Elephas maximus indicus: one gene and its partner. The protein of the gene in region 1 interacts with the protein of each later gene in a biochemical or structural test. Links are inferred from orthologs where the notes say so. Each region holds a gene or a part of one and is shown on either strand. Other genes may lie near its edges.

Region 1 (7,856 bases):
TCTGAGCCTCAAACTGCAGGCCAAAGGGCAAGGTACACAGACCTGTCTTGTCTTCATTTTGCCACAGGCCTTATCACTCTCTATTGTCTATCATCCTTCCCATATCTGGGCTGCTCGCTGGACCTCTGTATGTATCTGAGTTTGGATTCTCCAGATTAACTGGTCGAGGTGCCCTGGCCATAGTCTGGATGTGTGGTCAGCCAAAGTCAAGGTGTGCACACTGCCACTTTATACATCTTCTTATGCGCGCGTGCGCGCGCGCGCACACACACACACACACTCACACAGAAGTGGCCCCAAGGTAAACTCTTCTAAGCTTGCTTCCTGATCTGTGGGGAGATAGCTGAGTCTTACATTCCAGCTTGTCAAGTGATGGCTTTGCCCAACTGCATTTTTATAAAACAGGGACTTGGGAAAATCATAAAAAAAGGCTGAGTACTCCGGATTCCCCAAACAACCACCTTTCAAGAACGACTTCACTAGCATATTACGTGTGAAGGATGAACCTATACTTCAACAAAGCCCAAGTTCAAGGTCCCGAAAGTGAAAGTCCACCCTTCACATCGCATCCTAGAAGTGCTTCCCTTCCTTTCTCCTGGGAGTAGTCCCAAGGCTTTAGGAGATGGCTTTTTAAAAACCAATTACGAAATACAGACATTATATGCTAATTTGTGAACTATAGTTCACCTAAAGCCATCTTTTCTATTAGCCTCACACTGAAGGGTTTGGGAGACAGTGAAGGGCTGAGAAGATGGTTTCCCAGAAATCCTGAGGGGCTTTCTCCCTTCCCCAATATATCTCAAACATCAGATGCCCGCTTTATTTCAACTACCATCAATTCTTCTCTGACCACTAAGTTGCCTACTTCTTCACGACTCCGAGAAAATCATGGAAATATTTCATCTAAATTTTATATGAAACAACTATTGGGCTGGGTGAATTACTAAGCATATGAGGATAGTATTAAAGCAAAGTAGTTTATTACAGCTGACTGAAACTCAACAGTCCAGATACTGATGCAGACCTTTATTTGAATATGCGATTTTAAATTTGATTTGTGGCGGGGCGGCACACCAGATTCAATCACTCATTTTACTGACTTGAATCCCAAACCTTGATTCTCTGGGGGGTTATTTTTAATTTTAAAAAGTGAGCTCTCATCCTATAAACAGCACCAAGGAGAAATTCAAGGCAAAGAAATTACTTGTACATAAAAAACCCAGAAGTATTAATGACGTGATTTCCATTTCTAAGTTCAGCAAGTGAAGTTTACTGAGTAGCTCTGGGTTATAAGGAAACAATAAAACAGACAAGGATATCTGCGGAATTGCTCCTGAATGTTTTTAAGTGATACCAAACCCAACCTGCCACCACTGAGTCGATTCTGACTCATAGCGACCCTACAGGACAGAGTAGAACTGCCCCGCATTGTTTCCCAGGAGCACCTGGTGGATTTGAACTGCTCTTAACCACCACATCACCCCAGGGTTTCCTTTTAAGTGACAGAGGCAGATAAATACATGTTATAATATGACCACACAACGTGATACTATGCAGCCATTTAAAACAGAAGGAGGTACAGCTAAATTTCAGACATCAAAAAATGTGTGATCATATGAATTAAAAATAGCAAGTTGCAGAAGCCATTTTTGGAGGAAACCTATGTCTATGTGTGCATGTATATATAAGCCTTCCTGACACACACTGACATCTACGATTCTATATTTGGCTGCAAGAGCACATTTATAAATTGTTAGAAAAAGTCCATAAATACACACGCTAAACCTAACAACGGTGGGAAGAGGCGAGAGGTCTTGGTCTTTTCACTGTTTTTCTCGTCTTTGTGGTCTGCATTTTTTGCAAAAGCGCTGGTAACTTTTTTGACTAAAAAATAAAGTGATAGGCTTTAAAGAACTGTACCAACAGCTCCCGCGCGCCCTTCCTGTGAAATGCCCGACAGACCCGGGTTTTCACCCGGCTTAGAACACAGACCAGGAGAGGGAAAGGCGTGGCTGCCAGGTTTTCTTGGTTTTCCTGTAGCTGGAGGAAAACAGGCTGTGGGCGCCCTTTCTATAGCTACACTCCCCGGAGTTCCCACGTGTCAGGGGTGCGCGGACGGTGGGCGCGCGGTGCTGGAGCCTAGGAGCCATTCTGCCAAGCCGAGTGCTGGGAAAGGGCGCGTTTAGCTCGCCACTTCCTCGCTCCTCAACTCCCCACAGACACGCAGCTTCCCGGTCCAAGTTTTACTAGTGCGGCCCAGCCCTACAGAGCACACCCAAGTACACGTCTGCAAAGGGCGCAGGCACCAGGCGGGGAGAACAGCAACGGCTTCTAATGAGAAGAGAATTGCCAGTTCATCTGGGGTCAGTGTTTCGGCAAATGTCAGCCCAGAGCTACCCGCAAGGTGGACAGGAGGACTTGGGAGCGGGGGGATGGCCCGACAAAGCGGAAAGATTTTTGCTCTCACATAGGAGAGATGCCGCTTGCTTCTCAGGGCCTGCTAAGGAGCTGGAGGACACCGAAGTTCCGGAAGGTCGCCGAGTGGAGGTGCTCGAGCGGCACCTGGGCTTACCTTACAGGGAAAGAGAACAGCCGAGGCCACCTTCTCCATAGCCAGGTTCCTGATGCTGGGCGTCAGGGCGCCCCGGCACGTCGGGCAGCAGCTCAGCTTCTGGCGGCATTGGTTACACACCAGGTGCCCGGCCTGGCACTGCAGGATGGGAGGCAGAACATAGTCAAAGCAGACCGGGCACTCGAAGAGCGAGGTCAGCTCGTGGTGCTGCGGGGACACCGGGCCGGCCCCGCCACCGCCGCCGCCGCCGCCGCCGCCGCCGGGGCCGGAGATCACCGCCGCCGCGGCTGGCACCGCGGACGAGCCGGGGCCCGCAGCCGAGATGGTGGCGGCGGCCGGGGGCGCAGCCGGGGACGGAGCGTGCTGGGGCTGCGGCGGCTGCTGCTTGCTGCAGGGTTTGTTAGCGCTGGGGCCGGTGGAGGACGGGCGGCTCATTGCGTTCCGAGCCAACCATGGAACTGCGGGCGCCTGCCTGCCGCGGGGCCGCCGGGGTCAAGGCGGAGCGCGCCCCGCGGGCGGTGGGCTCCCGGGCAACGCCACGGCGCCCAGCCCGGGATCGGGTAGCGGAGACCGCCGGCGCCGGGCCGGCGGGGGATGGAGCGCACTGGCGCTCTCCAAGGGCCCCCGGCGTTCCAGAGACCCCTCAGCGCCCTCCGATCCCGCGCGGCGCCCTCCTCCCGGCGGCGTCCGGGGCCCCGAACCCGAGCGGTGCGCAGAGCCCCGGCCCACCAGCTTCTGGAGCGGCAGCTGACGCAAGCCCCGGGGGCGCGCGCGGACGTGACGCCTGGCTACGTGCGAGGCCGCCCAGGCGCGCAGGGACTGGCAGAGCCACCCTGCGCCGGGGCGTGGGCTCCGCCCGGCTCCAGCTGGCAGCGTAGGGGGCCGCCTAGCGCGGGCGCTTGGTGCTCGGGCCGCGGGTTTGGCCCGCGCCAGTGAGCATGCCCGGCTCGCCGCCGCCGCCTGCTGTCGCCTGCCGGGGCCGGCTTTTCCGGGCTGGGGAGGGGAGCCCTCCGCGAAGGCGTCTCCAAGGCCCTCTAGCCACACCCCGGGGAGCCACGCCGACGCGTCCCCAGCCACGAACCAGAAGGGCAACTTCAGGCCGGGCCGGGGCGTGGACGGCGAGCGGGGCGGGACGCTGGCGTCGGCCACCCTGCGCAGGTCGGAAAAAACCGAGAGCTTTCTCTCGCCTGAGTTGAGTCACCAGTGCGCGGGGGAGGGCGTGCGGCGGGGCCAGCCAGAGAGCTCTGGGTCTGGAACGCGGGGTCAAGAGGAAGAACTCTGGGCGGGAGCAGGACAATGGGTGGATCTGCAGCGGGCGCAGGACCTGGCACTATCAAGGGTACAGGTCTTCTCCTTAGTCCTGCCGCCCAGGGTGGGGAGGAGGCGGACTCCCTTTAATACTTTACCCCCGGACCTGGCAAAAGCGTCCTTGAATTGAGCGCCTTTGACGTGCACAGTAGGCCAGGGAAGAATTAATGGACAGCTTTAAAAAAAATTTTTTTTTTTTTTTTGGCTAAAAGGAGAGTTCGAGAGCACTCACGCATGCCATAAACATGGTCGTAAGACCCCAGGAAGGCAGTGCAGGACTCTCCAGTGTAACGCGCTGCGTCCTCATCTTTGGGATTCGCCGAAGTCCAAGGCTTTGATGCCTCGCACTCTCAGCGGAAGCCCTAGAACCAAAACAAAACCGAGCCCATTGCCATCGAGTCGATTCGGACTGGTAGTGACCCTATGGGGGGAGGATAGTCGGGAGTCAGCCGCATGTTTAATTTAATGTATACTGTGCTCTGAGTTGGAGCCCTAGTGGCGAAGTGGTTAAGTGCTACAGCAGCTAACCAAGGGTCGGCAGTTTGAATCCACCAGGCGCGCCTTGGAAACTCTATGAGGCAGTTAGTTCTACACTGACCTATAGGGTCGCTATGAGTCGGAATCGACTCGACGGCCCTGGGTTTGGTATGGTTTTTTTGATTCTCTGAGTTGGAGCTCTAGTGGCGAAGTGGTTAAGAGCTCGACTGCTAACCAAGAGGATGGCAGTTCGAACCCACCAGCCGCTCTTTGGAAATCCTATGGGGGCAGTTGTAGCTATGAGTAGAAATCGACTCGATAGTAGCAGGTTTTGGTACTCTGAGTTAAAATGCCTTTGTTTTTTTCCGTACTTTGGTTGAGCTCCTGACTACCGGACTTGGGGGAAAGCACTACCTACAGGGGACTTGGATGATTCTTTTTGGGAGAGAAAGAGATAAGAAGCAGCTAACTGGACGTGATGAAAGATAGTGCCCTCCACCCACCACCTGCATGACTTCTGGCAAGTTCTCTTAACTTCGCTGTGACCCAGTTTCCTCATCTGTAAAACTGGAATAACGACAACAGTTTATAGGTGGAGTAATGAGTTGATACATGTCAAGCACTTAGAATAAAACCTGGCCCATCAGCATTGTTTCAACATTAGCTGTTATTTTTAAAAAGCTAATTATAAGTGAACGTTTGATATTAATATTAGTATCAGTGAATAAAATCAGTCAAGAAATGTGCTCTTGGAGCCCAGAGGAAAGCAGTTTAATCTTATAGAGGGCATCTAGAAAGACCACCTGCATGGAATTGGTGGAATTTGATCTAAATCTTGGAGGAAAAAAAAAATGTATAGATGGAGGTGTCATTCAATCATTCAGTCAGTGTTTCCTAAACATTTATTATGTGCCAGGTACTGTTTGGAATCTGAGAATGTTTTTCATCCAGTTTACATTCATTCCAGAAAGGGAGCAAAGGACAATAAAGAAACAGGATTTCAGAAGCATTGAGGTGGGTGATAGGAAGACACTTACCAAAACCAAACTGGTTGCTGTGGAGTGGATTCCGAGTCATAATGACCCTATAGGACAGAGTAGAACTGCCCCATAGGATTTCCAAGGAGCAGCTGGTGGAGCATGAGCCAAAAGTACAGGGTGAGAGAACTCAATGGTGGAGTACATTGGGGCTTGTAATGGGAGTGTCAGTGGTGTAGGCTGGTGCGATTGGCTTGATAAGATATTTACCTCAGTGACCAGGGGAACAGTATAAGTTTAATTTTCTTTTTTTAATTGTGTTTTAGGTCAAAGTTCACAGAACAAATTAGTTTCTCATTAAACAATTATACACATATTGTTTCATGACATTGGTTACCAACCCTGCAACCTGTCAACACTCTCCTCTTCTTGAACTTGGGTTCCTCATTTCCATTCATCCAGCTTTCCTGTCCCCTCCTGCCTTCTCCTCCTTGCCCTGGGCTGGTGTGCCCATTTAGTCTTGCATACATGGATGAGCTACATGTATTATTGTTTGTTTTATGGGCCTGTCTAATCTTTGACTGAAGGGTAAGTGACCTCAGTACTGAGTTAAAAGAGTGTCCAGGGGCCATACTCCCCGAATTTTTTCCAGTTTCTGTCAGACCAGTAAGTCTGGTCTTTGTGTGTGTGTGTGTGTAAGCTTGAATTTTGTTCTACACTTTTCTCTAGCTCTTTTGAGGACCCTCTATTGTGATCCCTGTCAGAGTATTTGATGGTGGTAGCCAGGCACCATCTTGTTATGCTGGACTCTGATGGGAGCTGTGGTAGTTGTGGTCCATTAGTACTTTGGACTAATCTTTCCCTTTGTCTTTGGTTTTCTTCATTTTCCCTTGCTCAAGATGGACGGGACCAGTAGACATATCTCAGATGACAACTCACCAGCTTTTAAGACCCCAGGCACTACTCACCAAAGGAGGATGTAGAATATTTTCTTTATAAAATGTGTTATGCCAGTTGAGCTAGATGTCCCCCAAGACTATGGACCCCATAGCCCTCAGCCCACTAATTTGGTTCCTTGGGGGGTTTGAATGTCTTTATGAATCTTCCATGACTTTGCCTTGGTCAGGTTGTACTGACTTCCCCAGTATTGTATACTGTCTTACCCTTCACCAAAGTTACCACTTATCTATTGTCTAGTTAGTATTTTTCCCTCCCCACACCTTCCCTCCCTCATAACCATTAAAAGTTGTTTCTTTTTGTGTGTAAACCTTTTCATGAGTTTTTATAATAGTGGTCTCATACAGTATTTGCCCTTTTCTGATTGACATATTTCGCTCAGCATAATGCCCTCCAGATTCATCCATGTTCGTGGATTCATCATTGTTCTTTATGGTTGCGTAGTACATCATCGTGTATATGTACCATAGTTTGTTTATCTGTTTGTCTGTTGATGAGCATTTAGGTTGTTTCCATCTTTTTGCTGTTGTGAATAATGCTGCAGTGAACATGGGTGTGCATATCTCTGTTCGTGTGACGACTCTTATTTCTCAAGGATATATTCCTAGGAGGGATTGCTAGGTCATATGGTATTTGTATTTCTAGCTTTTTAAGGGAGTGCGTAAGAGTTCCAATCTTCCCAAAATCTCTCCAACATTTGTTATTTTCTCTTTTTTTTGATTTGTGCCAGTAATGTCAGGGTGCGATGGTATCTCATTATTGTTTTGATTTGCATTTCTCTAAAGGCTAGTGATCTCAAGCACTTTCTCATCTGTCTTTTAGCTGCCTGAATGTCTTCTTCGGTGAAGTGTCTGTTCATATTCTTTGCCCATTTTTCAAATGGATCATTTGTCTTTTTGTTGTAGAAGTGTTGGATTTTCCTATAGATTTTAGAGATTAGACTTTTGTTGGATGTCATAGCCAAAAATTTTTTCCCAGTCTGTAGGTTCTCTCTTTATTCTTTTGACCATTGTAGGTTTTTGAAAAGCAGTGTAACATGACTAAACCTGAGGTTTTGGAAAGGTGCTGTGGACAATATAAACTAATAATAAAACCCCAAAACCTAACCCATTGCCATAGACTCAATTCCAACTCATAGCAACTATATAGGACAGAGTAGAACTGCCCCATAGGGTTTCCATAGCTGGAATCTTATGGAAGCAGATTGCTGCATCATTCTCCCATGGAGTGGCTCATGGGTTTGTACCGCCAGCCTTTTGTTTAACAGCAGCCAAGGGCTTAACCACTGTACCACCAGTGCTCCAAACTAATAATAACTAATATTTATTGATTGTTCACTGTATGCAGGGCATCATCTTCTAAGTGCTTTGCATGAAATAATTCATTTAAACGTCAGCAATAATCCTTCTCAGTGGGCACTATTATTATCATTTCCAGCTTGTTAGGTGCCATACAGTCAGTTCCAACTCACAGCAACCCCGTGTACAACAGAACCAAACACTGCCTGGTCCTGCACCATCCTCACCATCATTACTATGTTTGAGCCCACTGTTGGAGCCATTGTG
Region 2 (7,264 bases), on another chromosome or scaffold:
AAGGCTGTCATTCAAAAATTTACTTTTTACTGAAACCTATTTGAAGGGTGCAGCAGGAAACTGGGTCCATATCACTACTTTGGGAAACAGCCTTGGTTGAGGGAAGAGAAACAATTAATGAAGAAAGGTTAAGTGAAGTTGAAATTAATAAAAATCATGTAGAACTGGAATGGGTTTCTATGATGCGTTAATAATGAGCTTCATACAAGAGACCCAAGGCCCCAAGACATCACTGAGAAGATTTCTTTATATAAACTAATTGATTTTTTTTTTTTTTTTTACTGTAATAATTGTTTGCTCCAGCCTTCTCCAACATTTGGTTCTAGTCAGATAGGGAATATCCCAACCTAGAGGTGATTTGTCTGAAGAGCAGGAATGACAAACATTGTGCCAAAACTGCCAAAGGAAAGCTGGAAATCTGGGGTATGGGCAGATGTTGCTCAAACGCATCTCTTCAGTGGACAAGACGAGTTTTCTGACTTCAATTCACAGTCACCTTCAGAAAGGGTTAGCTGCGAAGTTACTTTTTCCACTCAGAAGATAGCCCATTGTTGAAGAATCATGTCTGTAAATTTGTTTTTTTTTCCCTTACCCAGATGTACACAGTACTTTTCATTCAATTTGTCGAGTTAAAGTCTAGCCTGAAACTCTACCCCTAATCCATGAAGTCAAAGCTAAATAACAATTTTTAACTTTAATAATATTAGTGACTTCTCTCTACCAATTAATTTTAACTTCTGTTCCTAGAAGGCTGGGAGGAAAATTCTTAATACCTGAGATTAAGAGAAATTTAAAAAACTGGTAAGAAGCCATCTTGCAGACTGAAGCTATAAACACCTCTGCCAGGCTGATGCTAACCCACCCCAGGAGACAGGTAAGGTTCTTTAGTACAACAGCAAAACTATGCAGAAGACAAATAACTTCTGATCTACCACCAATATGAGGGAAGAAGAGTAAAGAAACACTTTAACAACAATCTTCTACAGAGTTCAGCCAACTCCAAATTTACCCCAAGCCAAAATAAAATTCAGAAAGCAGCAATTTCTTCAAAGATCCACTGTGTTTGCATTCAATTATTATCAATGCTTTCAGGAATTCTAAGTCTTCCTGGTTTGCAAGGTGACCAACAATCTATTTCTCCACTATTCCATTCACTTGCCTTGGCCCCTTCACTTCTATACATTTCCAGTCTTTACACTTGTTCTTTACGAAGAGCATTCCTCAGAGCTTACGGGACAAATGAGCCAGCAATGTTTTTTTTTTTTTAACACAGGACTCTTCTTGAATTGAGACATACTACATATATTTTTAAAGAGTGGTACATAGCTGAATGTTTAATTCCCTCCCATGGCTAGTATGCTTTGCCTCATTGTGTTTCAGTAAAAGTATTCTGTCCTTCTGAGTTCCCTTGACTAGTCCACAATAAAAAACACATAAATCATTCAGAATTGCCCCCTAGAAAAATGGGTTGGGCTATCATCTGAAGAAAGACTGAGTAGCTAGGCTATCCCCAAATAATGTTCATGCGACAACATCATGGTACCTACATGTTCCCGTATTTCTTTCAATCTACCTCTATTTGTCTCCAAAATAAATTACCACCCAGGAAGTCACTTACAGCTACCTGAACAAAAACCTGAGAAACACCATTTTCTTTCTAGTGGTACCTGAATACTCTCTCATGGATTTCACCTCAATTTATAGCTGGGAAAGGGGAGATGGTGGGGCAGGGCTGAGCACCAGGAGAGGGTTTCCAAAGTCAAGTAGATGGTCTTATAGTGTTCTGGTGCCAACCAGCCAAGGCAACACTCCGAGGTGACCAGAAGTGGATCCTGCACGTTTTACATGCCAAACTCTTCCCACACCTGCAGGACAAACTCCACAGACCAATTCCCTCACTGCAAGATTACATTACAGCTGCCACCAGGTTCTTTAAGAGTGCATTTGCGGGGGTACCTTCTGAACACAATGACGGGGAATATCAGGTGACTTTAAGCAGGCATTTAGAGTGAGTACCCACGTGCCTTGGAACAATGTTTCTTATAATACCCTTTCCCTTGTTTAAGTCTCTGAGAAACTCCATCTCTTAAAATGGGGCCGGAAGACACAGCTAGCTTGTACCACCCCACCAGAGCCATTATTCTAAAGTCAACAGAAGGTAATTATAATTACACACCTGAGCCCTTAACATGAACTATCGCTCAGAGGAGCTGGGGGACAAACCAGACTGACTTCTTGGTTTTAAAATTAAAGTTCGCTCGCAGCCCTGAGAAAGCAGCGTACAATTGACTCCCGAAAGCCCCCGTCCTACCTTGGACCTCTCCTTGACGTAGTATTTGCCCAGCCGGCTTCCGCAGTACAGGACCAGCCTGTCGATGAGGGACAGGAGGTAGCTGATGGCCTCGCAGCCCTCCTCGTTGCCCCCGATCCACGTGATCTGGTCGCCCCGCAGGTGCCGCTTGGAGACGCCCGCGCGCGGCCCCGCCAGCTGGCCGTCCCGCAGGGCCCCGTTGCAGTGCAGCTGCTTGACGCGCTCCAGGACGCAGTCACCCACCACCTCGCCTAGGAAGTTGTCCAGGTAGCAGAAGCCGACCTCGTGCAGGCAGGGCACGATGTACTCCAGGGCGATTTTCTCCAAATCCAGCCTCATGATGTGTCCCAGGGGCATCTCGCCCACAGAGTCGAGGTCGGGGACCCCCAGCGTGCACCACGGGAGAGAGCGACCTAAGCGCGCGAAGGCGAGGCGCCGGGAGCGTGGCCGGGGATTCAGCTACCTGCCGCGACCACAGTCCCCGAGCCACCGCAGCGCCTGGGAGAGGGGAAAGTTGCTTGCAACTCTGGGGACGGGGCGGGGGGTGTCTAGCTCAGCGACCAGTGAAGAGTTGTGCAGGGCCCCGCGATCCAGCGCCGGACTGACCCAGCAAGGAGTCGGAGGGCCCTTTTTGGAGATGCGGAGCCACCACCGCGGCGGCGGTCCGAGACCGAGAAAGAGTGAGTCCAGCTCCTGAGCCGGCCCGACACGGCACGTCACGAGCCCCGCCCCGGCCCCGCCTCCGGGACAGCCCTTCTCCCCATCCCCCACCCCCGCCCCCGGCCAGTCACCCCCGCCCATTCTCCGCCCCCAAGGCCAAGGATCCAGGCGAGCCAGGCGTCAGCCGTGGTTGGTTGTGAGGGAACCTGGAGAACAGACTGAATTTTTAGAATGCTATATTTGCATATTGTTTTGCTTAAAACCCCAAAACAAACTTAAAAACCTGGATCCCAATTTGGAAAATGTAAATGTAATCAAAAGCAGTTTACTGCCACACTCTGGGCTGGTCACCTCACAGGCTTTTAAATAAAATAATAAAACCAGGAACAAATATACATATTAAACAGAGGTCTCTTTCTTATCTTTATCTGATGCCTTTCGTTAATCCCCTTTCCTCAGCTGTTTGACCCAAGTCAGGAAGTTCAAGTCACCGACAGATTGGGAGGAATCCAGTTCTAACTAAAATGAACAATTAATATTTTTCTAACCCCTACTATGTGCAAGGGGCCCTGGTGGAGCAGTGGTTAAAAGCAATGGCTGCTAAACAAAACGTTGGTAGTTCAAATCCACCAGCCGCTCCTTGGAAACCCTATTGAGCAGTTCTACTCTGTCCTATAGGGTCACTATGAGTCTGACAGCAACCAAGGCTCTATATTCTGAACGAGGAAGAATGTGCACAACTTAGAAATACTTGCTGGGTCATATCTGATTGAACCCTGCAAATATTTTGCTTTGTTGAATGTTTTCATCCACTTAACTTTCAAGCTTCTAACTAAAATATGATGTTCTCAAATTCTACCTTCAAAATTAATCATGTGTTAACAGTCAGTATAGGTATATCCTCAAAAAAGTAAACTGTATTTTGGGTCCTTTCTCTCACTTTTCTCAGCAAGCAGCTCATTATACCAGAGGGATGGACACCACACAGAAGGCTTTTTATTATCTAAAGGTAAGCTGACTGCTTTATGGATTACTGATCCCCTTACCTACCAGACACCAGGAATCAGAATCAGGGAAAATATTCATAAAAAACAATCAGAAAAACCCAAACCCATTGCTGTCGAGTCAATTCCAACGTGCTGTTGAGTCGATTCCAACTCATAGCAAACCTATAGGACAGAGTAGAACAGCCCCACAGGGTTCCCAAGGAACGCCTGATGAATTCAAACTGCTGACCGTTTGGTGAGCAGCCTTAGCTCTTAATCACCAGGGTTTCCTCATAAATGACAGGCAAAGCTATTTCCATATTTTATCATTTTACACTAGTTTGCACTCAAGTTCTTCATGTAAGTTGAACAAAACAATGCACAGGTTTTCCAAGTGTCATTATTTTGTGTGCAATGCCTTACAGCTTTTTTACTTTTATCCTTCCAATAGCTCCTCCTCTCTGCTTTTGAAGGGTGAAATATGGAGGGAGAAATGAAGTCCAGGCCAAGAACAAACAGAATAGGAAAAGGATGCTGCTACTACGTGACGGAAAAGGCAGACAGAGGTGGGTGGCTGAGTAAGAACCTGAGCGCTGTTGGGGGATGGAACAGCCAATGGTGGAGTGTTTAAGAAACTAGTGAAACTTCTCATTACTTTGAGAGGAGGTTCTCTGCCAGGTTGGCGATTAGTTTGCAGTGTTGGTGTGACCTTTCAGCAGGAGGCACACCTCCTGGGGGTAAAGGTCTGAATTGGTGAGCACACCAGGAAATGTCACGTAAATTCCCAGGGAGCTCCATGATGACCCCCCAGAGTCTGGCACATGGTAGTGTGCCAGTTACTGGGAACCTGGTTTCTGTGCCTGAGCCACGGCCATTGCCGCGTGGCATTCAGGCATGTCTGGGCTTGTCTGGGGGTCTGCAGGAAGAGTCTATTTGCATGAGGGCCTGAGGAGTCTCCCTGAAGAGAATTGACTGGAAAAGAGTGCCAGCCAGATCAGCCTGGCCCAGAACAAAACCTCAGTGCCTGTGGAGAGGAGCAGTGAAGTGTTCTGCAGGGAATTTGTCTCTCAGCCATGGAAGATACCTGAGTCCTGGGAGTGGAAGGCCTAAAGTAAAAGCTGGCTGAACTGTTTAATTGTGGCAAGGAATGAAATGGGATGCAGTAGCACAAGGGAGGAGGGCCCTTATCTCTACTTCTACTTGAACCCCACGTACCCCAAAACGGCTTAGACCCCTCTAGTGATCTAGAGAGGTCATTATGGCTAGTAGGGTGGTTAGGAGAAGCGCAGTCTGGAGGTGTAGGCCCTAGCGGGCAGCAGCTTGTGCTTTTTGCATCTTTGGGGGCTATCGTAAACCTTAGAAGTAGGTATCCTGAATAGGGCTAGAATTAAAAAGGGGAAAATGGCAGATAACCCTTGGTAGCTGGCCAAAATTTTCTAGCTGAAGGTGCTTTGTAGGTATTCCTGATACTCCTAGGAATAATTAGGGGAGAATTTACCCAGGACAAGAAACCTGAAAGACATGGTGGCCAATAAAATACAAAGAAGTCTATACCCACTGCCCTTAATGAATATGTTGAGCTCACTTTAAACCAGGACTGGGTCAGTTTGACTTATTATTCCAACAATGTTTAAATAATTTTAGAGTAAAGCTGTAACAGAGAAAGAGAAAAAAATCCCAAAGGGCCCTTCCCTGGAGCAATAGTCTAAGCAAGTTCTACTGACTGCTGGCCTTAAAGTTTTCTAGATTACTCTGGTTCCAAGGTGTGGGCAGTTTAGAAAGGAATTCAATCTGTTGGCACCATTCCTGCTTGGCAAAGGTACCTATTAATTAATCAAGGACCTTCCAGTCAGCTTGGGGCTGCCAGCCCCGCTTTTGGCACAGGAGCCAGAGATACCGTGACTGGGAAAAATCAGTGTGCGATTACACCAGGCGGGCAGACAGGCTGGAGCCGAGCACAAGCTCTGAGTCTGAGCATCAGAGTAGCAAATCTCAAGCTGACTGTTAAAATGTGGGTTTTTTTGGTGATTTGTCCATTAATTTGTGCCATCATAATGCATATTAAAATACTTTTCATATTAATAACTAAGCCAAATTAATTTCCCTGTAATTTAATTAAGACAGCATTGTCTTTCCGTGTGCATTTGCAGTACGGATGCAACCATTTTCAAGCATGTGAATGAGAAGTTTGGAAGAAAGGATGTTGTATTTGTTTGCCTTGAATTTGAACTGGAAAAGGATCTGAGTGGTCACCTAACCCAGCTTCATTTTCCTACAGATGAGTAAGCCAAGGCCCAAAGGGGTTGGACATTAAGTGACTTTCCTAAGGAGTCTCTGGTGAGTAGAAGAGGAAGCCTGGAATGCTTCTGTCTTTTCCACTGTAACAAAGAGATCCCAATCATTGTCTTTTTTCCCCCTTTCTTTTTAGATTTATTTTTTAATGAAGTAAATTCACATAATGTAAAATTAACCATTTTAAAGCGAACAGTTTAATGGCGTTTAGTACATTCACCATGTTGTGTAATCACTACCTCTAGCTACTTCCAAGGAACCCTGGTGGTGTAGTGGTTAAGAGCTTGGCTGCTAACCAAAAGGTCGGCAGTTCAAATCCACCAGCCGCTCCTTAGAAACCCTATGGGGCAGTTCTACTCTGTCCTATAAGGTCACTATGAGTCAGAATAGACTTGACGGCAACAGATTTGGTTTTGGGTGTAGATCTAGTTCCGACAGGTCCCTGGGTAGCACAAACAGTTTGCAAAACGTTGGGGGTTCAAACCCATCCAGCAGCACCACAGAAGAAAGGCCTGGTGATTGGCTTCCATAAAGATGACACCCAAAAAACCCTGTGGAACTCTGTTCTACTCTGTAACACGTCGGGCAGAGTCAACTCTACAGCAACAGATTTTTGGTTTTAAATCTAGTTCCAAAACATTTTTATCACCCAAGAATAAAACCCTGTACCCATTAAGCAGTTACTCCATATTATCCCCAGCCCCTGGCAACCACCAATCTGCTTTCTGTCTCTGTGAATTTACCTATTCTGGATATTTCATATAAATGGGAGTATATAATATGTGACCTTTTATGTCTGGCTTCTTTCACTTAGCATAATGTTTTTAAGGTTCATCCATGCTATAGCATGTATCAGTACCTCATTCCTTTTTATGGCTGAATAGTATTCCATTGTGTCTATATATACCTTAATTTATTTAACCATTCATCCATTGATGGACGCTTGGGTTGTTTCCATCTTTTGGCTATTGTGAGCAGTGCTACCATGAATACCTGTGTACAAGTATTTGTTTTG

What was found.
Region 2: the proteins of SIAH2 (region 1) and EGLN3 form a complex in vitro, tested with the Homo sapiens proteins (2 studies listed by BioGRID). The link is inferred for Elephas maximus indicus from reciprocal best matches to the Homo sapiens genes SIAH2 and EGLN3.

Annotation. Positions count from the first base shown.
Region 1 is NC_064841.1:9,164,413-9,172,268, reverse strand, and holds the start of SIAH2 (E3 ubiquitin-protein ligase SIAH2), read right to left. Parts: upstream 3,015-7,856; 5' UTR 3,008-3,014; coding exon 2,573-3,007; intron 1-2,572. UniProt on the Homo sapiens protein: E3 ubiquitin-protein ligase that mediates ubiquitination and subsequent proteasomal degradation of target proteins.
Region 2 is NC_064828.1:46,367,528-46,374,791, forward strand, and holds the start of EGLN3 (prolyl hydroxylase EGLN3), read right to left. Parts: upstream 3,002-7,264; 5' UTR 2,669-3,001; coding exon 2,312-2,668; intron 1-2,311. UniProt on the Homo sapiens protein: Prolyl hydroxylase that mediates hydroxylation of proline residues in target proteins, such as PKM, TELO2, ATF4 and HIF1A. Target proteins are preferentially recognized via a LXXLAP motif.